Macaca mulatta: one gene and its partners. The protein of the gene in region 1 binds, or shares a complex with, the protein of each later gene. Links are inferred from orthologs where the notes say so. Each region holds a gene or a part of one and is shown in the gene's direction. Other genes may lie near its edges.

Region 1 (4,233 bases):
TGCCTGTATTGTCTTTGCCCATTGGCTTTCAACTGGGGTGATTTTTGCCCCCACGGGGACATCAGGAATGTCTCGAGACATCTTTGTCACAACTTGGGAGTGAGGGGATTGCTGGTGGGTGGAGTCGGGGGATTATGTGGCTCAAAATGTCAATTGAGCTGCTGTTGAAAAATCCTATCTTAGCTAATATCCCCACTTTACGAATGAGGAAATTGAATCTTGGAGTGGTTAACTTGCCTCTTATAAGTTTCAACCCAGGTAGTTTGAATCAGGGAACCTTCCTGCTTAACCATGACCCTATATACACCTACGACTAGAACCAGTACCCTGATTTGAATTCAAACACGTCATTTGTCCAGCGAGACAAAAATGAGGTCCAGAGAGGGGAAGAGACTTGCCCAAGGTCACACAGTGCAGGAGCGGGGCTAGAACCCGGGACTCCTGAGTCCTGGTCCAGTGTTCCCTCCGCGGGCTTTGCTTCTGCCTCTACAGAGGACCCAAATGGCCAGCCCTGGGGAAAGGGCCTAGGGGAAGAGGGCCAGCTGCCATGCCGCTGTCCGCTCGGGCAGCCTGACCCGGGCACGAGACTCCTGCGGGGTCACCTGAGGGCGCCAGGGAGAAGAGCGAGGGAGGGAGCAAGAAGGAGGCAGGAGCGCTGGCTCCAGCTCCGCGTGCTCCCAGCCCCTGGCTGGGTGCCCACGTGAGGGTCGCCCCAAGAAGTCGGGGGCAAGGAGAGAGGGTGCAAAGCCCCGGCCCGGGCTGGACGGAGAGAAGCGCGGCGGAGACTTCCCCGCGCCCTCTCTGGGCCCATTCAGTCCACCTCCCACACCAGAGTGTCGCGCCGCAACCCCTTACTCCGCGCCCTCTGACCCTGATCCCTGCCCTCTCCCTCTGGCCAAGTCCTCGCATCCCTCGGATTCTTACACGCGCCGCCCCAGCAACCCGGACCGCGCGCCGGGGTCCGCACCACGCAGCCCAGCCCGCCGGCGCCGCCGCCAAAACCCCGAGCCCGAAGCTGTTGCAGCCGCCGCAGCCGCCGCCACTTCAGCCACCGCCACCAGGGTAGCTGCGCCAGCTCTCCCATCCGCCGCCTACCGTCCTCTCAACCCCGCTCGCCCCGCCCCATTTCCCCTTCACAGCGTCCTACTGGCTAACTGGGCTACCATGATGAGCTCTGATTGGTCAATTCTCACGTCTTTCCGCAGGTCTCGCCCGCAGCCGAGGCAGTACTCCCTGCCCGCCTCCTTAAGAAGGGGCGGGACGAAGAATCCACGCCCCTTTCTCCTCCCATCTTCCCCGCCTTAATCGTTGAGTCCAACCCAGAGGGAGTCCCAAGTCTTTCCATTGGTGCAAGGTCAAAATGGCGGTGCTTCTGATTGGTCAGACTTCAGGAGGTGGGGACAATTGAGCGGAACAAGAAATTGAATGGTGAAAAGAAAGGTCAGTCAGACACAGAGTCCCGCCTTCTGAGATTGGCGGGTAACCTCGCAACGCTGGGACTGCGGCGGTAACTGTGGCTAGGGAAACCTGGAGCCGTCAGAGCGGGTGAGTAACCAGGTGGGAAAGGGTCGCGGATCGGGGGAGATGTGGAATGGGGTTCAGCCCGATGTCCTTTGGCTCCCTGAGAAATTGGTAGCCCCCGCTGCGATCCCGTCTCAGCTTCAGGACCCCGTCCCTCAGCCCCTGCCTCAGTCTGGACCTCTGGCTCCACAGCCTGCAGGGAGCCGGCCTCCATTCTTCCCCTTCTACCTGCCCACTTCATGGCCCCACTCCCTCATCCCTAAAACGACGAGGACACCAGTCAAGCAGAGTCACATCGTAGTTAACTTATTTCAAGTCAAACATGGGAGCTGTGGGTGGGAGGGGGGTTTATAAGTCCCCTCCCATTCCACCCAACGACCATACGTTCCTCGGTGAGCGGGCCATCTCACTTAAGTGTTTAAATTAGGTAGTTTTTGTTTGTTTTTGTTGTTGTTGTTTTTGCCTAGCGCGGTGACTCACGCCTGTAATCCCAGTACTTTGGGAGGCCAAGGCGGGCAGATCACTAAAGATCAGGAGTTCTAGACCAGCCTGGCCAATATAGTGAAACCTCATCTCTACTGAAAATACAAAAATTAGCTGGGCATGGTGGTGCACCTGTAATCCCAGCTACTCGGGAGGCTAAGGCACGAGAATCACTTGAACCCGGGAGACCGAGGTTGCAGTAAGCCAAGATCGCGCCATTGCACTCCATCCTCGGCAACAGAGCAGGACTCTGTCCCAAATAAATAAATAAATTAGGTAATTTTTATTATACCACTTTGGCCTTTGTCCTAACTTTGGAATTTATTTCCCATCTCCGTCCTTAAAATGTAATCTCTTTGTACCTACTAAAGATAGAGAGTTTCTTGTGATGATTAAATGAGGCTGAGGGCTGGGCACAGTGGCTCAATCTGCAATCCCAACAATTTGGGAGGCCGAGCGGCGGATCACCTGAGGCCAGGAGTTTGAGACCAGCCTGGCCAACATGGTGAAACCCTGTCTCTACTAAAAATACAAAAATTAGCTGGGCATGGTGGTGCATGCCTGTGATCCCATCTACTCGGGAGGCTGAGGCAGGAGAATTTCTTGAACCCGGGTGGTGGAGGTTGCAGTGAGCCGAGATGGTGCCACTGCACTCCCGCGGGGGTGATAGAGCGAGGCTCCATCTCAATAAATAAATAAATAAATAAATAAGGCTGAGGTGGAAGAATCGCTTGAACTCAAGAGGCGGAGGTTGCAGTGAGCCATGATTGCACTGCTGCACTCCAGCCTGGGCCACAGAGTGAAAAACCCTGTCTCAAAAAAATATATAAAAAAGAAAAACTTTGAGGTTCAAAAGATATTTTCGTAAGAAAATGAAAAGATCAGCCACAGACACAGACATGGAGGAAATATTTGCAAATCTCATGTGTCTTATAATAGACTTGTATGTAGAAAATAAAAATAACTCTTATAACTCAAGAGGACAACTCCATTTTTTTAATGGGCAAAAGAGTTGAGTAGACATTTAAAAATCAAAAAGACAATCCCAAATATCATCATGTAGATAAATAAACAAACTAGCTTTCATATATTGCTGGTAGGTACAGCAGAATACCAATTGGTACCACCAATCTGAAATATAGTTGGCAGTTTCTTAAAAAGTTAAACATAGGCCAGGCACAGTGGCTCATGCCTGTAATCCCAGCACTGTGGGAGGCACAGGCAGGTGGATCACCTGAGGTCAGGAGTTCGAGACCAGCCTGGCCAACATAGCAAAACCCCGTCTCTACTAAAAATACAAAAATTAGCAGGGCATGCTGGCGGGCCCCTGTATTCCCAGCTACTTGGGAGGCTGAGGCAGGAGAATCACTTGAACCTAGGAGGCGGAGGTTGCAGTGAGCCGAGATCATGCCACTGCATTCCAGCCTGGGCAATAGAGTGAGACTCTGTCTCAAAAAAAAAAAAAAAAAGCAAATGAGTATTTCATTATTTTGATCTGAGCTTTACGATTTTTCTTTTCTTTTTTTTTTGAGATGGAGTTTTGTGTTGTTGCCCAGGTTGGAGTGCAGTGGCACGAGAATTGCTTGAATCTGGAAGGTGGAGGTTGCAGTGAGCTGAGATCACGCCACTGTACTCCAGCCTGGGCAACAGAGCGAGACTCAGTCTCAAAAACAAAACAACTACAACAAAAAAATGTGAGTGGAAACAGAGATCGTTTGCAGATTAGCTCATGGGAATTTGGTGGAGTGATAGAAATGTTCTAAAACAGGATTGTATCTAAAACTGATGTGGCAACTTTAGATACATTTACAAAAATAGTAATTGAGTTTTATACTTACAATGGGTGAATTTTATGGTAATGTAAATTACACCTCAATAGAGCTGTAAAAAAAAAAATTACACGCGTGGTTAGTACCATGCAGGAAAGGTGAGAGAATTTCCACAGGTTGTAAAGTGCTGTGTGTTCCTGTCTGAGAAGGGGTAGCCATTGAGCTAAGACCTAAAGAATGAGAAATTGTTAATCCAGGGAGAAATTGTTCATGGGGGAGTTGGTTTCTGACATAAAGTAACATTATACGTTAGTGCCTGAGAGCAGGAGGGGTTTGAGATAGGCTGTTTTTTGTTTGTTTTGTTTTTGAGACAGAGCCCCTCTCTGTTGCCCAGGCTGGAATGCAGTGGTGCAATCTCAGCTCACTGCAACCTACGCCTCTCGGGTCCAAGCAATTCTCC
Region 2 (3,500 bases), on another chromosome or scaffold:
GCAGTGACAGGACTTTCTACAGTAGACAGCGGCCCTTGGTGGAATCTTGAATAAAGTGTAGTCCCTCAGTGTGCATGGAAGCTGCATTCCCAGAAAACTCCGAATACGTTGAAGCTGCAGAAATACTGTTTATACATAGAACAGGTCTAGGTGCTAGCATGCCTGAGGCTGGCAGGATCTGGTGATGGGCAGGAGAGCACCCAGCTCTCACCCTGCAGGCCACAGCCCCTTTGGTTCTGCCTGCTGAGCCCCTGCTGGGCCTGTGCTTGTGCCTGCAGGAGCAGATGGAGGACATGCGGAAGAAGGAGGACCACCTGGAGAGGGAGATGGCAGAGGTGTCTGTGCAGAACAAGCGCCTGGCAGACCCTCTCCAGAAGGCTCGGGAGGAGATGAGCGAGATGCAGAAGCAGCTCGCCAACTACCAGAGGGACAAGCAGATCCTGCTTGTGAGTTTCCTGCTGGATTCCTCTCCCTCCTTGGCACGAGTTAGCCTAGACTCAGGAGGAAGGAGCATCACAGGGGCAGGAAGGGAGACGGGGGAGGCCTGCATTTCTCCTTTTTCTGCCTTGTGTTCTCCTGGGGAAAGTAAAGTCTGGGGGTGTTTTGGAGACAAGGCCCTCATCTTCCACCGTGTACTACTGACCTGCCTTGATGGGGCTCAGCTGCTTGTGTCCTGGAACCATGTCTTTCTGGTGATTATTTTTGGCCTTGCCATCTCCCAGGAGCCTGTGTTACTTGGATGACTGTGAATCTTGAATACTTTCTGTCCCCTACTCCGTTTTTCCTCCAGTGCACAAAAGCCCGTTTGAAAGTCACAGAGAAAGAGCTGAAAGACCTGCAGTGGGAGCATGAAGTGTTAGAGCAGCGGTTCACCAAGGTGAGTGGGCACCAGGCTGGCCCTGCAGTGGGGGGTGGCACCCCTGCTAGCCAGGGACGGGGCTCTCCTTGTGGCCCTGGCCCCTGGACCAGCTTCAGATACCTTGGCCAGGTTTTTGGGTTCTGAAGCTGGGGGCCCTATTCCCTGTAACTCATTCCACAGCTTCTAAGAGGCAAAAACCTTTGGCCTATTCCGCATGCATATCCTGCAGAAGGCCTGAGGTCTCATGGGGAGCAGATCACACATGACTTTCGGCCCCTCAAGCGCTCACCTCTCAAAGCACATGAGGGATGCCTGGCCCCTGCAGCAACTCCTTTCTTCCATGGGTTTATGTTTCTAAGTGCTAACCTATTACCTTCTCATTGTAAAGAAGTCATGGGGTCTTAAGTGTAAGTGAAAATGAGCCTCCAGCTCCTCACGCTGGCGCGTTTTATGAGCTCCCTTCCAGGTTTCCTGCATGCTCTAGTGTGGATGTGACTGTGTGTGTTATGAACACGGGATCAGGCCATAAGCACAAGTTGCTTTTTAATCTCACAGTGTATCAGGCTGCACACAGGAAGCCGTTTCATCCTTCTCACAGTCACGTGGTGCTGCATTTCATGAATGTTTGATCATTTAGCTGACTCCCCTCTGTTTCTAATCCTCTGCTGTTATAAGCATTGCTGCCTCGATCCTTTTAAATTTGTCTTTGTGCACTTGTGTGAGATTGCTTCTTAGGAAAGCCAGTTCCTAGCAGTGGGATTGTTGGGTCTGAGGGGTCTGTGTTGAGGGTTCTGATCTGTCCAGAGGGCTGCTCTGAGTCACACACCTGCCAGGGTGCGGAGGGGCCGTCTCCATCCTCAGCTGCACCAGATCTGACAGGTTTAAACCTTTGCAGAAGAGTCTGGGGGGAAAACATTTCATTTCGTGTGCCCTTCCGAGATTGCCAGTGAGTGGTAGGGATGCTTGGTCCTGTCTTTGTCCCTCAAAGAGACTCCTTGCCTCTGTTGATTTTCAAAGTTCTGGCCAAGGACCAATCCTTGCACCATGGGGCCCTCAAGGCTTTGTGTGTGGTGTGCGTGGCCAGATCATCTTATCTTGAGCTGCAGTTACGTGTGCTGTTTGTGTTCTCTAGCCTAACTGAAATTCATGAACACAAACGGTTGTAGTAGGATTCGCCCCTCGGAAACATCCCATCTGTCGGAGACACCTCAGGTCCTACCTGATGTGCATTGCTAGGCTGTGCCGACTCTTGGCACCTAAGGGAAGGGTGCCCCAGTGAGACTCTGAGGACTGCTGTGTTAGGGGCCCTTCCTCCTCCCTGTGAGTTTTGAGGTGGACATTACTGGGAAGAGGAGAGCAGAGACGTACCTGGGCTGGAGTCTTGTTCCCTGCCGTATTTTCTTCCATTTGAATGTGGTTCCTGACAGTGTCAAAGTCCATGTCTCTTCCTAGAGAACTGGGAGCTCAAATTTGTCAGCAAAATTTAGAGACCAAAGGCACTTACTTATTTATTTTTATTTTTTGAGATGGAGTCTTACTCCATCGCCAGGCTGGAGTGCCGTGGCGCGATCTCGGCTCACTGCAACCTCCGCCTTCTGGGTTCAAGTGATTCTCCTGCCTCAGCCTCCTGGGTAGCTGGGACTACAGGTGCCCACCACCATGCCCGGCTAATTTTTTGTATTTTTAGTAGAGACGGGGTTTCACCATGTTAGCCAGGATGGTCTCGATATCTTGACCTTGCGATCCGCCCGCCTCAGCCTCCCAAAGTGCTGGGATTACAGGCATGAGCCACCGCGCCCGGCCCAAAGGCACTTATAATCCACGTGCCTGCGGACAGGGAATTGGATTTAAGCAAATCTGGGGAATTCTAATTAACAGCAGTTAGAAGGGGTACAGGGCCAGGTGCTGTCTTGGAGGTGCTCCAGGTATCACAGGTCGTGCTTTGAAAAAAGCTGCAGTATTTTAGCATGATCCTGTTTTCTTCCAAACAGTCATAAATGTTTTTACATGTATAGAGAACATTCTGGAAGGGGTCACACCAAGTGTTCACAATGGTGGGTGGCCTCTGGGAACTGGGGTTAAGGGTGTTAACTTTTTTTTTTTTTGAGATGGAGTTTCGCTCTTGTTGCTCAGGCTGGAGTACAATGGCGTGATCTTGGCTCACTGCACCCTCCACCTCCTGGACTCAAGCGATTCTCCTGCCTCAGCCTCCCGAGTAGCTGGGATTACAGGCGCTTGCCACCATGCCCAGCTAATGTTTGGTATTTTTGATAGAGATGGGGTTTTACTATGTTGGCCAGGTTGGTCTTGAACTCCTGACCTCAGGTGATCCACCCACCTCACCCTCCCGAAGTGCTGGGATTGCAGGCGTGAGCCACTGCGCCCTGCTCAGGGTGTTCACTTTTTTTTTTTTTTGAGACGGAGTCTCACTCTGTCGCCCAGGCTGGAGTGCAGTGGCGCGATCTCGGCTCACTGCAAGCTCCGCCTCCCGGGTTCACGCCATTCTCCTGCCTCAGTCTCCCGAGTAGCTGGGACTACAGGCGCCCACAACCGCGCCCGGCTAATTTTTTGTATTTTTAGTAGAGACGGGGTTTCACCGTGGTCTCGATCTCCTGACCTTGTGATCCGCCCGCCTCGGCCT
Region 3 (4,079 bases), on another chromosome or scaffold:
GCTCGTGTGTCCCCAGCCCACAGTTGTCCTTGCATCTTTCTCCAGATCAAGTCCTGCAGTCAGGCGAGCATGGAGAAGGCGAGCATGGAGGAGACAAGCATGGGGTCAGAATTGGAGCTGGCAGAGCAGACGGAGATGGAGGGAGCAAAGGAAGAAAGCCTGGTGGAAGGGGAGAAGGAGGAAGAGGAGGAGACCCCACCCTCCCCCTGGGACATCCACCCCAATGATGTCCTCAAGATTCTGGAGGCCTTTGTCATGGGTCTGAAAAAGCCTAGGTGGGCTGCGGGGCTGGAAGGCTTGCCTGAGACCAGAGCCAGGGGAGCTGGGTGGGCTGGGGAGCCAGGCAGAGTCAGTGAGTGGAGAAGAGTGCGCTGGGCAAGATACGAGGACTAAGGACAGGGCTCTCTGAAGGCAGGCTAGGGCAACCAATCACTGGACAGAGTCAGGAAAGCAATAGGGCGTAGTAGTGATTTGTGCTTTTTTTCACTCATCATTCATTCAGCAGACATGCATTGAAGGCTGCCATGTGTAAGCACTGTGGGGACACTGCCTTGTGATCAGAGCAATGGTCAAAGCACATTCAAGGTGCACCGTTGTTCAGAGGAGGAAATGGCCATTTCCATTTGGCACGTCAGAGAGGGTTTTGGGAGGAAATGGCACCGGAACTGGGTGTTCCCAGGCAGATAAAATGGAGGTAAGGGCATTTCAGGAAATGGCAGCATGGGGAAGGTCAGGTCTGTTCAAGAATCATCACAGGAGGTGTGGCTGGTGGGTCAAGGGCCTGGGAGGTGGCACTGGTGGGTGGGGAGCCAGCCAGGTGTTGGAGAGCCTTGCCCAATGTGCCCAAGATCTTTGTCTTTACCCATTGGTGGTGGGAGCCAGAAAAGGATTTGAAGCAGCTGAAGAGCCATGATTAGCCTTGTATTTTAGAGAGATCATTGTGGCGGCAGGGAAGGGGCGAAGCCAGATACAGGGAGAGCATCAGGAGGCTTGTCCAGGTGGGAGGTGGGGATCCTCCAGATAAAGGCTGTCATGGCGGGATGGAGAGGCCATGACTGAATTCCAGTACTGTTTTGGATGCGCTGGTGCAAGAGACAGGCACAGCGATGAGCTGTAAAGCAGTGAGGTAAACTGACTGGGAGAGAGAGGGGTGGATGAAGCACTGATCATGCCCTCACGAAGGTACCGGTGGTACCGAGGCAGGAACGCTGACGATAAGCATGTGTCCTTTCTGAGAACCTGCCACCATCTAATAAACTGTGTCCTTTCTGAGAACCTGCCACCATCTAATAAACTGTGTCCTTTCTGAGAACCTGCCACCATCTAATAAACTGTGTCCTTTCTGAGAACCTGCCACCATCTAATAAACTGTGTCCTTTCTGAGAACCTGCCACCATCTAATAAACTTGGACTGCTGAGTGGGAAGGTGACAGGTGGGAAAGCAGTAGGCCTGTGACTGGCACTGCTTGGGGGCCTGGGTAGTACCCAATGGACATGACAGTCACAGTGTTGTTGGCCTTCAGGGACTCGCGGGCCCCGCCAAGAGTGCAGAAGAATATGCGCAACAACTCCAAGGACTCAGAGTACTGGCAGGCCCTGACCACGGTAATCCCTTCCTCCAAGCAGAACCTCTGGGATGCCCTCTACACAGCCTTGGAGAAGTACCAGTAAGTGTGCATGTCATGGAGCAGGAGGGTGCTGGTGGGCAGGTGAGGAACGGTTGCTGGGAGCAGCCGTGTTTGCTGCCCCCCTGTCCCACCGAACCTGGGAGGGAAGAGCTGCCCTTGGCAATTCCTGTGTCGGTGGATCATGTGGGGCGGTTGGCTCTTGGGCCCTGGCCTGCCTGTTCTGTTCCTGCTAACCTGGCTCACCTGGCGGCTGGGTGAAGCGTGTAGCTTCTGGAGTCTCCCTCCACCTGCAGCCAAAGCAGAAACACCAAGACCCTGGCCCCTACTTGGCAGAGGATGGAGGATTCAGTGAGCCTCTAACTGATTTTTTTGTCCAAAGCATTGTCTTGACCCAGAGGGCCAAGCTGCTGCTGGAAAACAGTTCTCTGGAGCAGCGGAACACAGAGCTGCAGGCGCTGCTGCAGCAGTATCTGAACTCCAAGGTGGGCAGCGGGCCTTCCAACGAGGGGTGGCAGGAGATGGGTGGGGCGGGGGGACTGGAGCTGGGATTAGGGAATGAGGAGTCCCCTCCCGCCCAGAGGCAAGGGAGCTTTGCGACGTGATGTAAAAAATCAACAGTGACACCTTGAGACAATTACTGGCTAAAGGAGTAGATCTTGCCTGAAGTCTCCTCCAGGACAGCTCAGGTGTGACAGTGTCTGATACCGTGGTTTCTGGTGCCAGTGGCCTGCTGGGACCACTCTGTGTGAAGCAGTGCCACAGCCAGGAGCAGCTCCCCAGCTACAGAGCCTCCAGCTGTGCTTTCTTCCATCCTCACACCCGCTGTGTGAGGTGGACAGGGCGGAAACGATGCTCCTCATTTCACAGAAAGGACAATCACAACTTGGAGAGTTTGCAACTCATCCAGAGCCTGGGCTCTTTCCACCCGCCAGCCCGGGTTCCCTGCCTGGGATGTGACTGGAGGGTCGTCCTCACATGAGGGAGGAGGCTCTGCTGGGGCAGATATTCCCTGGTCCCCATCTGTGCCCACCCCCACAATAGTTGTGGGCAACTTCCCCATGGCCTGGCAAGAGGAGGAAGGAAAAATTCCATTGCTAACATTTCCTGCTCTGTGGTGGAGGTGCCTGCGGCTGGGGCTGTAGGCCAGGAAGGTCATGACACAGCTGTTAGTTGCACACGTGTGAGGTGACTGAAGCCAGCTCCAAGTCCAGCCACAGGGGCTGTGTGGCCCCAGCACAGTCCCAGGTCCCAGGCAACAGCTGAAAGGGGGATGTTGTAGTGAGCCTTGGCCTCATAATGACCCTTGGCCTGTGACAGGACCCAGACATTCTGGACAGTATGGTTCCTGCTTCCACAGATGCTACTGTGTACAAGAGGCTTGGGGAGGAAGAGGTGGCGCAGGCTAGACTGGGGATGGCATGGGTGCATGGAGAGAGGAAAGGGGAAGATTGCAGAGAATGGATGGGTGGGAGATGAAGAACGCTAGCAGAGGTCACAGCTGGAGCAGAAGCTGAGCAAGAAGGCTCAGGCGTGTCTCCTGCAGGAAGGCAGCCTGTGGGTGCTCAGCGTCTCTCAGCTTTGGAGAGGAGATGCATGCAGGGCTTCGGAGGCCCATGGGAGAGCCAGCGTGGCTCGCAGGGGTGGCAAAGGAAGGAGGGCCCTGGGGAAAATTTAATGACCTTCACCCTTCCTTTTCCAGATCAACTCGGAACTGCAAGTTCCTCCCACTCAGGTGTTGCGGGTACCCACAAAATAGAGCTGGAACTCCAAAGGCTGATGTGTTAGGGCTGGCCTGATGCTGGTGTCTATGCGGGAGCCAGCTCATATCACCCACTGGGACGCACCTGGGCCGGCTCTCTGGATTTTCCAGGGCTGTCTTTATAGCCTGTCGAAATAAGGAGCCAGAGGAGTTACCTGTGTCCTGCATTATGATTAAAGCCTTTTAAAAGTTGTGGCTGAATCCTATTGAAATAAGGAGCCAGAGGAGTTACCTGTGTCCTGCACTATGATTAAGCCTTTTAAAAGTTGTGACTGAATCTCTTTAAAGAGGGCAGGTCTAGCAAGACCAGGCCCTTGCCCCTACCTCTGTGTCATGAGGGGACTTTGCCCCAGGCTGAGATTGTGGAGTGAGTCAGAGGCTGAGGCCAGTGGCGTGGGGCTCCTTTCTTGCTTTCAGGGGAAGCTGGTTTCCATGGGTGGCGGCTGGAGCTTTTGGGCCCTTGTGGAGTCTTCAGTCTTCAGACTGGCCCCAGACCTGAAGGATTCTTTTGGTGCTTTGGGGGCCCCTGGGCCCAGGCTGGTGTAACCTTTGGGGTATAGTGTAAGACTCCTCCTGTGGGCAGCCTGGGTGGGCAGCCCTGTGCCCGAGATCTGCTTTGAACCCTGGGCCATCAGAGGCCACTTGAAGGGGAAAGGCCACGGGAGCCCTGCTGGTGCGGAATCCACCAGCCT
Region 4 (4,141 bases), on another chromosome or scaffold:
TTAGAATTCTTCTTGCTATCCCATTAGCAAATTGCCCGTGATGCTTGAGACAATCTAGTTTGTGCTTACTCAACAATGACGCTGTTTAGTTCTCTTCTACAATTGTGGACAGGAGTTTCTTGGATGGCAGATATGTTATTTTAAATTATTTCCCTAACGGCTTCCATGATGTGAAACATGCCTCTGGAGGGTTTTACCGTACCGATCAACTTTTGGACAGAAACCGAATCTGGCATTTGTCCGCTGGGAGGGTGTGTCTCGCGCAGACAACTGTTCCCATTTCCAAAACACACACCAGGCTGGGAGGTCTTGGACCACTGTGACTCCCAGGTACCTCCCCTCTGAGGCCGGGCCGAGCGCCCGCACAACTGCCCCTTTGACGTCCCTTCTTCCAGGACACTTGCAAGCAGAGCTTCACTTATGGCTCCGGGCCCCTCAACAGCCCTTCCACAATCGGCAGAATCCCTTTAATTACACAAAGGCCCGGAACAAGCTTTAAAGTGAGAGGCCATCAACAGGCTTTTAAGAAACCTAATCCTCCACTGTGGCGCAAAGCTCAGGCAGGAAAGCCAGGACAAGTTTTCATATCAGGATAGTGAACAAAGAATGGGCGGCGGGGGCGGCGCAGCACCATGCACCCACACAAGTACTGCCTCTCCCTCTAGCTCGGCTCCTCATCTTACCCCGAGGACACGCAAGCCACCACCCAAGCCCGGGAAGCCCCCCTGCCCAGTCCCCGCCCACCTGCCGGGCACCCCGCGGTCTCACCTGCAGACTTGGAAGGGCGCATCCCGAGCTCGCGGTCGCCCCGCCGCCGACCCCGGGTCAGTCTGTAAATGCAGTAGCAGGCGCCGGCGCCGAGGAGCAGGCCCGCCGCCACCCAGCCCGCGCCCCGGGGGCCACCCATTCTGCAGCCGCGGCAGAGCCGCCGCGCTGGGCCAGGGCAGGAGGCTCCTGGGGGCCAGCGCGGAGGTCTCCAGATCACGCGGGCCTAGCCGCCACAACAAACCGCGCGCGACCTGGATGTGGAGAAAGGAAATGGGGTCTGAGCTCCGCCTCCCGGAAACGGCTCAGCTCAAAGCCTATAACCGCCCACTCCAGCGCGGCGCCTCCCGGCGGCTTCTCCCAGGCGAGGCGGGGCGGGGCGCTGGACGCCAGGAGGGGAGGCTAGGACGGTGCGCCCCACGCGGAGACGCCGGGGCCCTGAACCCGGAGCCGAGCTTCCCGTCGCTTCTCCTGTGGCATGAAGCAAGCCTCCCTCCCTCCTGCCCCGGGCAGCGGAGCGAGGGGCGGTGCCGCGTCCAGCCCCGCCCCCTGGTTGCCAGGACAACGCCCGCACGCACCCGGCTCCTAGTCCCAGCGCGGGGAGGGTACCAGCGCAGCTTCTCCGTCAGGCCTTGGGCCATGGCCTCCCTACGCAATGCCAACCCGAGGCTGAAGAACTACTTCAAGGAGAACTATATTCCTCAGGTCTGCGAGGTACTGGACACGCGTGGCGGCGGACACGGACCGACGGTGGGGAATTAGAAGGGGGAGGAGTCAGGGAAGACGTCTCGGAGGAGGGACTAGGTTTAGGAGTTGAGGGAGGAGGGAGAAGGCGGGGCGGAATGCGAGAAAGTGAAGTCAAACTCGGACTTGTAGGCGATCTGGGCTGAAGATGCTGATCAGAGAGAAGACAGAGGGTGATGGTAGCTGCAAGTGGGGAATGGGTCACATCTCCCAGGGGAAATGAGCACAAGGCCCAGATCGGAAACCCCAAACTCAGCTTTTAAGGTTTGAACAAGAAGTGCCTGAGGAGTGGAGGAGTGAGAAAGAAATGCCAGAGAGGCTGAGGAGGAAAATCAGCAGACTGTCATTATGAAGAGTGTTGTCAGAAGTAGGGAGTAGGCTCTAGTCACCTAAGATAAGGACCTGGATTCTGCCCAAGGTGAGCCTGAGGTTTCCATGGAGCCGTGAGTGCAGAAAATAGATGGAGGTTAGCTGAGGGGAGAGTGGAAGCTGATACCTTTGGTCAGTGTAGTCAGCCCTTTGTGAAGGTAAGGACCCTCTCAACCGGGATTGCCTTTAGACAACAGGAAGGGCTACCCTTCCACCCCCATTGTAATAGGAGGGAAGGAAGACAGGAAGGGATAGATACTAGGTTTTGTAGGTTTTTGGGGGTTGGAAGCTGAGAACGTTTGCCTTTGTTGACCTCTTTTTTTCTCTACAAATAGTTGATGAGATATTTTCCAAGAATGTGCGTGTTTGAGTGGGGATGGGGCTGTTGGTGCAGTAGGAGGTTCGAGCAAAGATACGCTATGCGGGGAATGAGGAAGAGAGATGTCTAGGGAAGGAAAAAGGAGGTCCCAGCTGAGGGTAGTAACGATCCTAGGCGGTTGGGAGGGCAATTTGGTAGAGACCCCCGTCTCCTTTTTGGATGGCAATTGAGAAATATTTATTAAAATGTTAAATACATGTACCCTTTAACCAAGCATTTCCACTTCTAGGGATCTACTTTAGAGAAATACTTGCACATGTGTTCAGAAGGATGTACAAGGATGTTCATTATAACTTTGTTTCATAGTAGAAGTAGTAAATGACCTAGAGTGACTAAGCGAATGAGGTATTATGTAGAATAAAGTATATCTGTACCTACTAAGAAGAAATGCCCTCCAAGACATATTATTATTATCGAGACACGGGGTGTTGGTCTGCCACCCAGGCTAGAGTGTAGTGGCTCCATCCTAGCTCGCTGCAGCCTCAAACTCCTGGGCTCAAGCCATCCTCCCACCTCAGCCTCCCAAGTAGCTAGGACTACAGGCATACACCATATGGCTGGCTCCCAACACATATTATTAAGTAAAAAAGAAAAAGTGCAAGTTGCTTAGCAACTGTCCATTCTGCTCTAGCTATCTGATTTCATGTATGTTGTATATGTGTTTATGTGTACATATATGTGTGTGTATCTATCTTTAAGACAATAGTGCATGCATAGAACCTATGCCAAATTGTTAATAACAGATGTCTTGTGGAATGGTTTTGGGGGAGGAAACGGGGAATTCTAACTTTTTGCTCTACCCATAGCTGTATTGTTTTAATTTATTATAGTGAGTTTCATGTTGTACCTCTATACAATTGTGCTTGAAAATATGTAGGGAGAATGGTACCCATCTTCCCGGTTGTGTGATTTTTGTCAAGTAGCAGTCAGTAAACCAGATGTAGGTACAGAGATAACCAAGTTGACTTCGTCTGGGATAGGAATTTGCCAGGCATATGTTAATAGAATAGAAAGGCAGTAGGTTAGGGAGCTAAGCTCCTGAGTATCTGAAGTGATGGGCCAAGGACTCTAAGGACTCAGTGGGAAATGAGAAAAGGATATGATACTGATATATGTACAGAAAATGGAGACTCCTAAGAGGTGAGTGAAGAGAAGTAGAGGGAGTAATTAAATGAGGGAGCTGGAAACATAGGAGGTGGGGGTCAGAAAGTGGAATGTTTATATTTACAATTCAGGGTGCGGCCATTCTGAGTGGTGATTCAGTCTGTGATATGGCGGTGCAGCAGGTGGAAGAAACAGACTTGAGTTGAGGGTACATCAAGGAAATGGTGGCCTCTTCTCATCTAGCCTGCCAGTTACTATAACATCACAAAGCTGCAATGAGGCAGTCCCCAGTTCCCCCTCTGGGTGAGAGCGCTCCTGGCTTGCCACATTGTTCTGCACCCAGAGAGGAGGCCCTTATATGCATTCCCCATTGTCTAAGATCATATTCTCCTGAGAAGTCCTTCACTCACCTCTGCTACCACACTAGCAGCAAGAACAAGGGAGCAGTCTTCTGGGCCCCACACACCCACCTTAAACTCATTACCTATTTCTCCTAAGAGACTATCAAGATGAATTCCATTCTGCCTCATATCTATTCTGTCTGTACATTTATTCATCTGACTCAATTTCCCAGATGGGTTTTATACTTTTTTTTTTTTTTCTTTTTTGAGATGGAGTCTTGCTCTGTCGTCCAGGCTAGAGTGCAGTGGCGCCATCTCGGCTCACTGCAACATCCACCTCCTGGGTTCAAGCGATTCTCCTGCTTCAGCCTTCCAAGTAGCTGGGACTACAGGCACCTGTCATCATGCTCAGCTAATTTTTGTGTTTTTGGTCGAGATA
Region 5 (3,500 bases), on another chromosome or scaffold:
TCCTCTCAGGCCTTCCAGAGTCTAATGTACCTCGAATGAACCATGGTTTTCCCGAGAGTTCCTCTCAGACCTTCCAGACTCTAATGTACATCGAATGAACCATCACTTTCTGGAGAGAGTTCCTCTCAGGCCTTCCAGAGTCTAATGTACCTCGAATGAACTATCGCTTTCCCAAGAGTCCCTCTCAGACCTTCCAGAGTCTAATGTACATCGAATGAACCATCACTTTCCCGAGAGAGTCCCTCTCAGGCCTTCCAGAGTCGAATGGACTCCTCCCTTGTTATTTCCTCCCACAGCCTGTCAAGCTTTCCTTTTCTATCATTTTGCACAATTTTTGAAAGTTTACACATGTGTTTGTCTCTTTTTAACCACCTCTCTTCTATTAGACTGTAAGCTCTATGAGGGCAGGGAATATGTCTGTTTAGATCTCCATGATTTTCCTAGAGCCTAGCTCTAGGAAGAGCCTGGTGCTGAATAAATATTCAGCCTGGTGCTGAATAAATATTTTTCTTAATGACTATTGAGTCCTCGCAATTGCCAAGCACTTGGTGACCTGCAAAAAGAAAGCGTTTTCACACGTGTTCTCAATGAAACCTAATAATCTCTGAGATACTTCAGTCAGGGTGGGTGTTGTGTGTGTGTGTGTGTGTGTGTGTTTTATAGAAAGTAAAAAAGTTGGAGATTTGACTAGGCCAAGTTCACACAGCTGGAGGCCTGGGTGGGAAGTCAGTTCTTTTCATCATTTTGACCAGTGTTCTTCCTACCAAAATGAGAAATCTGTGTGGGAAATATGGACATACCAGTAATGTGCCTGGGAACTAATCTCCGCCCTGATTCGCCCTGATTCTTCGAACTGCTGTATTACTCACTTTCCTCTCTGCATGATTGTTGGCTAAATTTCCCGTTGTGTGACAGCGGAAAACTAGTTCCCGTTCCTTATTGATTTACACTTATAAAAGGGAACCTTAAGCCACTGGCTGAACTGAATGGCGGTAGAATGTATTTTCAATTTAGAAACCTGGTCTTTCCATTGCAGAGTCAGAATGAATATATTGCTAACCTCAAGGACCAACTGCAAGAGATGAAAGCAAAATCCAACTTGGAGAATCGCTACATGAAAACCAATACTGAGCTGCAGATTGCCCAGACCCAGAGAAAGTGTAACAGAACAGAGGAAGTCTTGCTGGAAGAGATTGAGGTAATCCCTGGGACATTAGTGAAGAACCCAGGAGATGGCATTTGAGCTGTCACTCCTGATCCTGTCTCAGCTAACAAAGGAGGGAGATGAAGATTTCCTCCATCTCTCTCGGCAACAGCCCCTCCACTTGAGGTTGAAAATGGAAGCCTAAATGAGGATACACATGTTCGCAAGCGGAGATTCCAACGGGCTGTAGCCTCCTTCTCCTGCCTCATAATGACTTTGAAAATTGGCTGTACTTTCTCTCCTCGGTCACTTCTTATTTTATCAAACCAATCGCCATTTCTCTAATTATAGGGAGAGGGCAAAACAAGATCCTTAGTTATGGCAGGATTTTGCTGCTGTTTGTTTTATCTAGCCAGTACTTTTCACTCCTCCAGTAAGAAATACAGCATCTTGAGAGGTGAACTTCATTCAAACCTGAATTTATGGAGATGAGAAGTCATGGTGAAAAATATCAGGAGGAAGAAAGTGGTAGATCTTCTTTGAGGGGAATGCGAAATGGCGCGCGCACGCGCGCGCACACACACACACACACACACACACACACACACACACACACACTGCACACACATACACAAAGCCAGGCACTAGTCCCAGCTAATTGGAAGGGAGGCAGGAGGATCCTTGAGTTTGAAGCCAGCCTGGGCAACATAGGGAGACTCCCTTCTCTCTCTCTCTCTCTCTCTGTCTCACACACACACACACACACACACACACACACACGCAAAGAGCAGCAGGCAGATGGGAAGACGGAAGAAGGAACAAACGTCCTTAGACCATGGAATTTGTGTGTGGGAGGACTCCTTGCTCTGAGACTAACGTGGCTTAAGGCCACGACAACAGTCTTCCTGGCACTCTGGAATTTCCCTTTTTTAGGCCCCACAGCCTTGTGCCCTTGGCGCACCGTTTCTCTCCTTCAATGGGCACCTCTTTTCAATTCACGGGATTGCGCACCTTTCGTTAGGGACACTAACACAGTCCAGACAGTGCCGCGTCATGTGTCTCTGCGGTGTTTGTGAACAGGAATTGCACGAAACTGAATTCCCGGCATCCCAGCTGGTAAAGGAAACCTGAGCTGCCGACCAAGCTGCTCCTCTAATCTTGAGAACTTCTGATTCACAGCCCTGCAGGGAAGACGTGCTGATGTCTGATTATTGTTCTTACAGAAACTCAGGATGAAAACCGAAGAAGAGGCCCGGATTCATATGGACATTGAAATGTTCCTTAGAAAGCAGCAGCAGGTGGGTCACCAAAACTTTTCTGTGCTTTGAGTCTTTTTGTACTCTGCTCATACTGAGGAAACAAAAAAAATATTTTGAAGAAAAACCAGCCATCATTCTTTCAGCCTAATGAGCTTGAGCTCACATGTTATTTCAGGGTTGTGCATCTGAATAGATATCTTATATAGTTACAATCTGAGAGAGTACAAGTAAAATTTTGTTTTCCGCTTTTATCATTGAGCTTAGATAAGAAATTTTTTGATTCCTATATTGCTGTATACTCATAATTTTTAAATTATGACTTAATTTATGACAAAATTTAGTAAGTCAAATTATGACTTAAAAATTTATGGGCCGGGCACAGTGGCTCACGCCTGTAATCTCAGCACTTTGGGAGTCTGAAGCGGGTGGATCACCTGAGGTCAGGAGTTCGGGACCCGCCTGGCCAACATGGTGAAACCCCCTCTCTATTAAAAATACAACAATTAGCCAGGCGTGGTGACAGGCACCTGTAATCCCAGCTACTCAGGAAGCTGAGGTGGGAGAATTGCTTGAACCTGGGAGGCAGAGGCTGCAGTGAGCTGAGATTGTGCCACTGTACTCCAGCTGGGCAACAGAGCAAGACCCCGCCTCAAAAAAAAAAAGACATAATTTTAAAATTAATTATTTTTAATTATGACTATATTAAAATGTTTTCCCATTAGTATAGTGGCCAATAAATAAAAAAGAAAAATAAAGGCCAGGTGCAGTGGCTCACGCCTGTAATCTCAGCACTTTGAGAGGCCGAGGCCGGCGGATCACCTGAGGTCAGGAGTTCTAGACCAGCCAGGTCAACATGATGAAACCCCATCTCTACTAAAAATACAAAAATTAGCCGGGCGTGGTGATGCAGCCCTGTAATCCCAGCTATTCGGGAGGCTGAGGCAGAAGAATCGTTTGAACCTGGGAGGCAGAGCTTGCAGTGAGCCGAGATCACACCACTCACTCCCGCCTGGGTGACAGAGCGAGACTCTGTCTCTAAAAAAAAAAAAAAAAAAAGATTTACTAATTTTTTACGTTATAAAAATAACATTCCCAGT
Region 6 (3,500 bases), on another chromosome or scaffold:
TTCCCCAGCTGAGACCAGCTCACAGACCCCCAGGTTCCCTAGGCCTCTCTTCTGGGACCTCTCTGAGCATGTCTGCCTTCTGCTCTATAGATTCCCCAATGGTCCCTGCCTCCTTCCTTCGCACAGGCCCCATTCCTGAATCCCTCAGGCTGAGGGTGGGGACGCACCAAACACACATTGTACCCACATCTCAGTCCTGGCTCTCTGGGCCTTTGATTTCTTCATCCACCAAATGAAACACATGAGACCAGGAGTTTGAGTCCCACACACTGTTGAGCGCACAGTGCCAGGGTTACCAACACCTTTGCCATGCCCTCTGCAGCCTGCTCCTGAAACAGCTGTGGACTTCCTTAACGGCCACTCACCTACAAGGACAAGTTTGTCATCATCTGCGTGAACATTTTTGAGTATGGCCTGAAACAGCAGGAGAAGCGGAAAATAGAGCTTGACACCTTCAGTGAATGTGTCCACGAGGCTATCCAGGAAAACCAGGAGCAGGGCAAACGCAAGATTGCCCAGTTCGAGGAGAAGCACTTGTCGGTAGGCCCCGAGCCTCCTGAGGCCCTCCCTGCCTCCTGCTGGAGGCCCTCCCTGCTCTTGCCACCCCCACTGTAGAGGGGCTGCAACTCCTATACCCTCTGATGACCCCTGAGGCCAATGGTTATTGTCCCCATTTGCCAGAGATCACACAGCTAATCAGTGGCAGAGCCAAGGCCTGCCTTACCCCAGCCCCACCAACTACAGCTCCCCACCACTTGATGTGTGGCCTGTGGATCTTTGTCACACAAAGCGCCCTTGGGATTCAAGGTCAGCTCCATCCCCGAACTTATCATCATCGTTACTATTAATAACAGTATTAGTATTACCATTACTATTTTGACGGTAATGATTACCGTCCTTTTGTTCATTCATTCATTCATTTAATAGACGTTTTCTGAGCTCTACTCTCTGCCTGCTCCTAGGAAGCTAGAGCCACACTGGACATGGTTCCTGCTCTTGTGGGGCTCAGACCCAGGCCCAGGCCCCAGCCCTGACCTGAGCAAGCAGAGGAATCAGTGCCATCCTGGAGGGAAGCCTGGGGAGCCTTCGGGGTGCCCTAGGGGCACCTTATCTCAGGCGGGGGAGTTTAGGGAAGGCTGAGGCTCACAGAAGAAAGAAAAGTTGATGGAGAGGAAGGGTGTTCCTCCACCCCCTAGGAGCAGCAAAGGAGAAGGCTCTGGGTGGTCAGGACTCGGCCTAACCAGGCCATGGGGTCCAGCCCAAGCAGAGGCCATTGGGAAGGGCACCAGTCTTTGTATTTGATGGCAGCTGCCTTTTTGAGTTGGCATTACTTTTAAAGACAGGATGCTTAGCCTGTTGTAAATCACAGATCTTTCTGAGACGCTAAGGAAAGCTGTGGACCTTCTTTTTCCTCCAAAAACTGTTCACACACACCAAGCTTGCTTGTAGCATAAGGGGCTTTAGGAATCCCATAAGGCCCTTCCTTCTTGTGAACTTAAAGTAGAGCAAAGTCCCTCGATGCGCAAGTTCAGATCTGATGGAGTCGATGATCCACTCCCAGGTGCTTCCCGCCTCCCCCACGGCCACCCCCATTCCTGTCTCATTAACCTCCAGGGCCTCACATGCTGTGTGATTTAATTCTCAAGACCCTCCTTATTATATTTTAGGGAGCAGGGGTTACTGTGTTCAACCAGAAGTTCAAAACTGTCGGCGGAGGAATACATTTGGCTCACATATGTGTTTTATTTGGCCTGTGTAGGGTTTTAAAACATTTTGAACATCCTGCTGACATTAGAAACTAGCAGATTTCGCAGAAAAATTTGTGGTTGCCAGCTTCTCTGGAAGCAGCTGTCATCAGGGCTTGAGTGGCAGTTGTCCCCTCTGGACAGGTCATGTCTCCAGTCCCCCCAGTCCCTGTCCAGCCTTTCTTCCTGACATTTATCTGGTCCCTGTAGCCACTGGGGTTGGGAGTGTCAGCTATCCGGTGCTTCCTGAGGCCCGGTGCAGGGACCCAGCCCCTCAGCAGCGAGTCCCTCTGCAGAAGTAGGATGTGGGCCATGCCAAGCCTGACTTGGAGCATGGAACGTGCCACTTGCTCCTCCGTTCAGGCACCTGCCTTCAGTGCGGGCCAGCTCCTCAAAGGCCACCTCGGACGAGCTGACTACCCTAGTGCTCCCCTTCTAGAGCCAAGAGCAGTGGATCCTGCCCAGCCTTCATGTGGAGTCCCCGGGCCCTGGAAATGTGCTCGCATCCAGGCCCAGCAGCACCCACTTAGACTGGGGCGTGGCCTGGCACAGGGATTTTCCATTGTTCCACGGGTGCTTTCCATGCACAGCCTAGATAGAGGCCACTGACTTAGAAGTTCCCAAGACCCCATAGGCCCTGCAGACCCCCAGTTCCCTCCCTGACAGGCCCTCTCCTATAGTTTTTCCTACACTCCTCCCACTCACCCCCATTAGGCCTCATCCACTGCACATGCGCTGCTCCAGGTGCCCAGTGAGCCACGTTTCAGGGTCATGGTGCAGCCATGTAAGGCTTGGGGCTCAGGCAGACTCCTCACTGGTGACCCAGAGATCCATTATGGACCCTCTCCTAGCCTCCATTTCCTCATGTGCAGAACAGAGATAACCACCTGGAAGAACTGTAGTGAGAAACAGAGACAGAGAGGGAAAGCACTTGTGCAAGGCCTGGAGCAGTCAGCCTAAAAGGATGACAGCACGTCTGTGTGTAGTCAGCTGCACTCTCGAATGGGTGGTGTGTGCACATGGCACAGACAGAACAATGGCCACCGGGGGATACGGTCTCCCTCCTACTCCTGTGTGTGTGTGTGTGTGTGTGTGTGTGAGCATAGCATGCCCTGTTCTGTACTTTGCTTTCCTGTGTGTGTGTGTGAGCATAGCATGCCCTGTTCTGTACTTTGCTTTCCTGTGTGTGTGTGTGAGCATAGCATGCCCTATTCTATACTTTGCTTTCTTGTGTATGTGTGTGTGTGTGTGTGCATAGCTTGCCCTGTTCTGTAATTTGCTTTCCTATGTTAGGTATCTTGGAGAGCCTTCCAAAATGAAAAAGTTACTTCATTTTTTTATAACTAAAATATCACATTGCGTGGGTGAGCCGTAATTATTTAGCCAGTCCCTGTTGATGGACAGTTAGGTTTTTCCCCAACCTTTTGCTCTTTAGTGTTCCACTGAATAAGTTGGTGCAAGTTTGACCTGCAGGATGAAGTCCTAAAAGTGGAAACTGTGCATTGTTTTTTTTCATGGTTATTGTCCACCTGTAACCCACAGAACCTTTACCCTCCACAGCCATCGTCAGGCCAGTGTCACGGGCTTCCTCATTTTGCCAGTCTGTGCACCCTGAGTATGCATTTATTTTCTCTTAAGTGGGGATGAGCAATACATGTTTTACAACCATTTGTGTTTCTTATTCTGTGAATTATTTGTACTTATATTTTGCCCTTGCCCACTTTTCTATTTGGTTTTTGGTTTCTCTCTCCCTTT
Region 7 (4,050 bases), on another chromosome or scaffold:
TAGCACAGAGCTGCAGGGAGAGTGAAGGCTGCCTGACAAGGGAGGGCCACCCGTCATACTCTCTCCCCCACATTAATTATTCCAGCCACTCCTGGCTCCAGCAGGACACTAAGAAGTATCCCCAAAGGGAGTCACCCCCAATATTGCCCAGTAAATAATTTAAAAGCAAAAATGTGGGAAACTCAGGAGAAGGTCAAACAAGTCCACTAGAGGGAGCCCCAACCAACTCTATGCTGCAGGGAGCCTCACAAAGCAATGTCTCAACACCTGTCTGAAAATCAACCACACAAGGGAATGGGGAAATGTAGCAATAGATTAAGTAACTAGGAGAGAAGATAGCCATGTAAACACCTAGCTAAAACACAGGCTTTTCAAGAGCTACAAAATCAAACATTTAAAGATCAGGAAACTGATGCTGAGCAAAGTCAAATGGCTTGCCTCAGTTTACATATCCACAGTTGGGACTCAAACTCAAATGTCTTGTCTCTAACCTGAGCACTTTCCTGCACACTTGCATCCCTCTAGGTCAGTACCCTAGAGTCCATGGGTCTGCTGTTCCTTTGTGTCTCATTTCTCTGAAGTGGGAAACGCCCTCGACTACCTATTCCTGTACTTATTACCCTCATTCCACAGTGTACTGAAGAGGATCTTCAGTGGTTTGGGGTTTTTGTTTGTTTGTTTGTTTGTTTGTTTGAGACAGGGTCTCCCTCTGTCATCCAGGCTGGAGTGCAGTGGTGCAATCATAGCTCACTGCTGCCTCAACCTCCCAGGCTCAAGTGGTTCTCCTGCTTCAGCCTCCCGAGTAGCTGAGACTAACAGGTGTGCACCACCCTGCCAGGCTAATTTTTTAATTTTTTGTAGAAATGAGGTCTCACTGTGTTGTCCAGGCTGGTCTTGAACTCCTGGCCTCAAGTAATCCTCCTGCCTCAGCTTCTGAAAATGTTGGGATTATAGGCATGAGCCACCGCCCCCAGCTTAGATCTTCAGTTTTAAACCTACTAATGTCATTTTGCTGATGGGACCTCGGGATGTCAATTGTCCAACATGGCTACTGTCAGTCCTTTTCCTCTGTATCAGCACAACATATTATCTCAGATGTGTACATCTGAATTTGGAAGTCTCCAAATTGCAGGCCATGTCTACGTGGCAATGAATCATAACCAATCGGCCTCCAAAGCCCTTTCTTTTCAAACTATACTTAGGGTTTTGGGATAAGGAAAGAACTGACCCTTTGAGACCTTGATATTTTAAGCTTTGTGAGCTGATTTAGCCCATTCCACCTTCCTACGAACTCCATGTTTCCCAGTTGCCTGGACAACATACAGCCTCCCGAAACCCAACCTTCCAGCCCTCAGTCCTGCCCTCAAGAGAAATTTGTCACCAAGGATTGGCTCCCAGGACCCAGGCCCCGCCTCAGGCTCCTCGCTAGTTGGGCCTTCTCTCTGCCACTCCCCACGGGTGGGTCACTCCACAGGGAGCCCCAACACTGGCAGGAGAGGATCCTACAGGTAGGAAGAGGGGGTTGAGGATGATGGGAAGAGGGAGGGGAGCAGGTACAGGGATTTATCTAAAAGAGAGTTGTGAGGAGTGACTTCCGTACAGTCAGCCTGGTTGAGAGAAAAAACTTCACCCTCCCCGTTGACCCCAACCCTGCCTGAGGTTCCAAAGAGACTGTGAACTGACTTTTCTGAAGAGTATGAGATACAAATTTGGAGTAGAACCAGGAGACTCCCCTGAGACTCCTGATTCAGTCAGGAAAGCATCCCTGTGTCCAGACCTAAACATAAGGTCCCCTCCTTCTCCCAGGACAGCAAGGAGATGCCACTTAAAAACAAAGAAAAAGGGAAGAAATCTGGGGCGCAGAAGAAAAAGAACTGGGGTGAGTCATGGTGGGTGGAGGTGCCCCCTGCTTCTCCATGTTCTGGCATGAAGACCACGCAGAGCTCCTCCAGAGAGAATTCAGCCTTCTACATGACAGGATGGAACTCTCTTGACCTTCCTCTTTCGTGTCCTTGAAGTCAGATGCAGGGAGCTGAGGAAGTGGGGAAATGGTCACTCACGCTCTCCTTTAAGCACCATCTAGCTTTGTGCCTTCCTAATATATTTGTCATGTGTATTTTGCATATCTGTTATGTGCTGGTTGGTAAGGACACAGTGCTGACTTCAGTAGACTCTGCCACCATGGATCCCTCATTTAGTGGTCCTCAGGTCTCCTGTGGCAAAAGTGCAGGGTGTGGGGTGAGGACGCAAGGAGAGTGAGGAATGCTGAGATCACGAAGAGCTGAGGCTCTGCCACTTGCCACAGCAGGTGCAGATGTGGAGGCTGAGTCCAGGCACAGGCTGGTGGTGCTGGAGAAGGAGCTGCTCCGAGATCACTTGGGTAAGGAGGGTAGAAGTTGGCATGGGGGTGGGCAACAGGGCAAGTGAAATGGGGCATTTCTGTATCCTGGGGGATTGGAGAGTTGGAGATACAGTGGGGGGCTAAGTTGAACCCTAACCATCCCCTAGTGGAAAAAGACAATGAGAGAGGGGTGGGCAGTGAGAGTTGATAAAGGAAGCTTTTTTTTTTTTTTTAGACAGAATCTTGCTCTATTGCCCAGGCTGGACTGCAGTGGTGTGATCATAGCTCACTGTAATCTCAAACTCCTGGACCCCAACAATCTTCCCACCTCAGCTTCACGAGTAGCTGGTGCACACCACCCTACCTAGCTACTTTATTTATTTATTTATTTTTCTTTTTTAAAATTTATTTTATTTTATTATTTCATTTTATTTTATTTTACTATCTTTTTTTTTTAAGACAGAGTCCTGTGCTCTGTTGCCCAGGCTGGAGTGCAGTGGCGTGATCTTGGCTCACTGCAACCTCTGCCTCCCAGGCTCAAGTGATTCCCCTGCCTCGGCCTCCCAAGTAGCTGGGATTACAGGCACACAGCCACCACGCCCGGCTAATTTTTGTATTCTTATTAGAGACAGGTTTTCACCATGTTGGCCAAGCTGGTCTCGAACTCTTGACCTCATGATCCTCCCACCTTGGCCTCCCAAAGTGCTGGGATTACAGGCATGAGCCACTGCGCCTGGCCCTATTTATTTTTCTTATAGAGACAAGGTCTCACTCTGTTGCCCAGGCAGGTCTCAAACTCCTGGCCTCAAGCAATTCTCCCACCTAAGCCTCCCAAAATATTGGGATTACAGGCATGAGCCACCATGCCGGGCTATCCGGAAAGCTATTTTGTATAGGCAGAACATGGAGAGAGTCTTTACTTCTTAATAATGAGGAGCCTGTGAGACTCTAGGGATAAAAAACAAAAACAACAAAACCCAGAGAGAGAATAAGAGGCTGGACGCCCCGCCACCAGATTTCTAGAGACGGGCAAAATTCATCAAGTTCATGGGGGCTGATTTAGCGGGCCCCAGCCAGTCCTGACAGTGGCTCTGGGACTGCTCACAGCTCTACGGAGGGATGAAGCCCGTCGAGCCAAGGCTTCCGAAGACCAGCTGAAGCAGAGGCTGCAAAGGGTGGAGGCTGAGCTGGAAGGGGCCCGAAGTGAAGGGAAGGCCATATATGCAGGTGTGTGGTCTGTTGAGCAGGTGGGCAGGAGACAGGGGCCTGGAGGAAGACAACCAGCAGGGTCAGATGATGCAAGGAAGGGAAACAAGGAGGGCTTCCAACTGCCAGGCCTGGTCTTGGTCTTCCCCGAACAGTACAAATCAGGCAGGATCCTGCAGGAATCAAAGGCAGGTAGGTTCCTGGGATCCCAGGCAGGGGCCTGCCAGGATGCCTGGTGCCATGTGCTTGATGCTGTGTAGGATACGCATGCAGTCATAGCCATCACCTCAACCATCCTATGGGAGGGGAGAAGGACTAGCATCCCCATCCAAAGCTGGACGGTGGGGGAGGTGGGTTGGGCTTCCTTTCCCTTCCTCAGGTTTTCATGGTCTCTAGCTTCTCAGAATCACAAAAAGAACCAAGAAGACCATGGGCCGGGAGTGGTGGCTCACACCTGTAATCCCAGCACTTTGGGAGGCCGAGGCGGGCGGATCACGAGGTCA

The links.
Region 2: IQCD (region 1) and GAS8 share a complex: the UniProt entries of both Homo sapiens proteins name them as parts of the nexin-dynein regulatory complex. The link is inferred for Macaca mulatta from reciprocal best matches to the Homo sapiens genes DRC10 and DRC4.
Region 3: IQCD (region 1) and DRC1 share a complex: the UniProt entries of both Homo sapiens proteins name them as parts of the nexin-dynein regulatory complex. The link is inferred for Macaca mulatta from reciprocal best matches to the Homo sapiens genes DRC10 and DRC1.
Region 4: IQCD (region 1) and FBXL13 share a complex: the UniProt entries of both Homo sapiens proteins name them as parts of the nexin-dynein regulatory complex. The link is inferred for Macaca mulatta from reciprocal best matches to the Homo sapiens genes DRC10 and FBXL13.
Region 5: IQCD (region 1) and IQCG share a complex: the UniProt entries of both Homo sapiens proteins name them as parts of the nexin-dynein regulatory complex. The link is inferred for Macaca mulatta from reciprocal best matches to the Homo sapiens genes DRC10 and DRC9.
Region 6: IQCD (region 1) and DRC3 share a complex: the UniProt entries of both Homo sapiens proteins name them as parts of the nexin-dynein regulatory complex. The link is inferred for Macaca mulatta from reciprocal best matches to the Homo sapiens genes DRC10 and DRC3.
Region 7: IQCD (region 1) and DRC12 share a complex: the UniProt entries of both Homo sapiens proteins name them as parts of the nexin-dynein regulatory complex. The link is inferred for Macaca mulatta from reciprocal best matches to the Homo sapiens genes DRC10 and DRC12.

Annotation. Positions count from the first base shown.
Region 1 is NC_133416.1:120,462,522-120,466,754, reverse strand, and holds the start of IQCD (dynein regulatory complex protein 10), read left to right. Parts: upstream 1-1,433; 5' UTR 1,434-1,545; intron 1,546-4,233. UniProt on the Homo sapiens protein: Component of the nexin-dynein regulatory complex (N-DRC), a key regulator of ciliary/flagellar motility which maintains the alignment and integrity of the distal axoneme and regulates microtubule sliding in motile axonemes.
Region 2 is NC_133425.1:85,499,618-85,503,117, forward strand, and holds part of GAS8 (dynein regulatory complex subunit 4), read left to right. Parts: intron 1-278; coding exon 279-446; intron 447-790; coding exon 791-877; intron 878-3,500. UniProt on the Homo sapiens protein: Component of the nexin-dynein regulatory complex (N-DRC), a key regulator of ciliary/flagellar motility which maintains the alignment and integrity of the distal axoneme and regulates microtubule sliding in motile axonemes.
Region 3 is NC_133418.1:98,552,782-98,556,860, reverse strand, and holds the end of DRC1 (dynein regulatory complex protein 1), read left to right. Parts: intron 1-45; coding exon 46-275; intron 276-505; coding exon of another isoform or gene 506-557; exon of another isoform or gene 558-703; intron 704-1,523; coding exon 1,524-1,667; intron 1,668-2,007; coding exon 2,008-2,110; intron 2,111-3,327; coding exon 3,328-3,384; 3' UTR 3,385-3,579; downstream 3,580-4,079. UniProt on the Homo sapiens protein: Component of the nexin-dynein regulatory complex (N-DRC) a key regulator of ciliary/flagellar motility which maintains the alignment and integrity of the distal axoneme and regulates microtubule sliding in motile axonemes.
Region 4 is NC_133408.1:142,775,410-142,779,550, reverse strand, and holds the start of FBXL13 (F-box and leucine-rich repeat protein 13), read left to right. Parts: upstream 1-1,341; 5' UTR 1,342-1,404; coding exon 1,405-1,479; intron 1,480-4,141. Other genes in the region: ARMC10 (armadillo repeat-containing protein 10), read right to left, coding at 769-907. UniProt on the Homo sapiens protein: Substrate-recognition component of the SCF (SKP1-CUL1-F-box protein)-type E3 ubiquitin ligase complex.
Region 5 is NC_133407.1:1,021,875-1,025,374, forward strand, and holds part of IQCG (dynein regulatory complex protein 9), read left to right. Parts: intron 1-1,036; coding exon 1,037-1,198; intron 1,199-2,367; coding exon 2,368-2,442; intron 2,443-3,500. UniProt on the Homo sapiens protein: Component of the nexin-dynein regulatory complex (N-DRC), a key regulator of ciliary/flagellar motility which maintains the alignment and integrity of the distal axoneme and regulates microtubule sliding in motile axonemes.
Region 6 is NC_133421.1:19,565,256-19,568,755, forward strand, and holds part of DRC3 (dynein regulatory complex subunit 3), read left to right. Parts: intron 1-365; coding exon 366-540; intron 541-3,500. UniProt on the Homo sapiens protein: Component of the nexin-dynein regulatory complex (N-DRC) a key regulator of ciliary/flagellar motility which maintains the alignment and integrity of the distal axoneme and regulates microtubule sliding in motile axonemes.
Region 7 is NC_133419.1:119,883,260-119,887,309, reverse strand, and holds the start of DRC12 (dynein regulatory complex protein 12), read left to right. Parts: upstream 1-1,250; 5' UTR 1,251-1,295; coding exon 1,296-1,508; intron 1,509-1,806; coding exon 1,807-1,879; intron 1,880-2,305; coding exon 2,306-2,380; intron 2,381-3,448; coding exon 3,449-3,568; intron 3,569-4,050. UniProt on the Homo sapiens protein: Component of the nexin-dynein regulatory complex (N-DRC), a key regulator of ciliary/flagellar motility which maintains the alignment and integrity of the distal axoneme and regulates microtubule sliding in motile axonemes.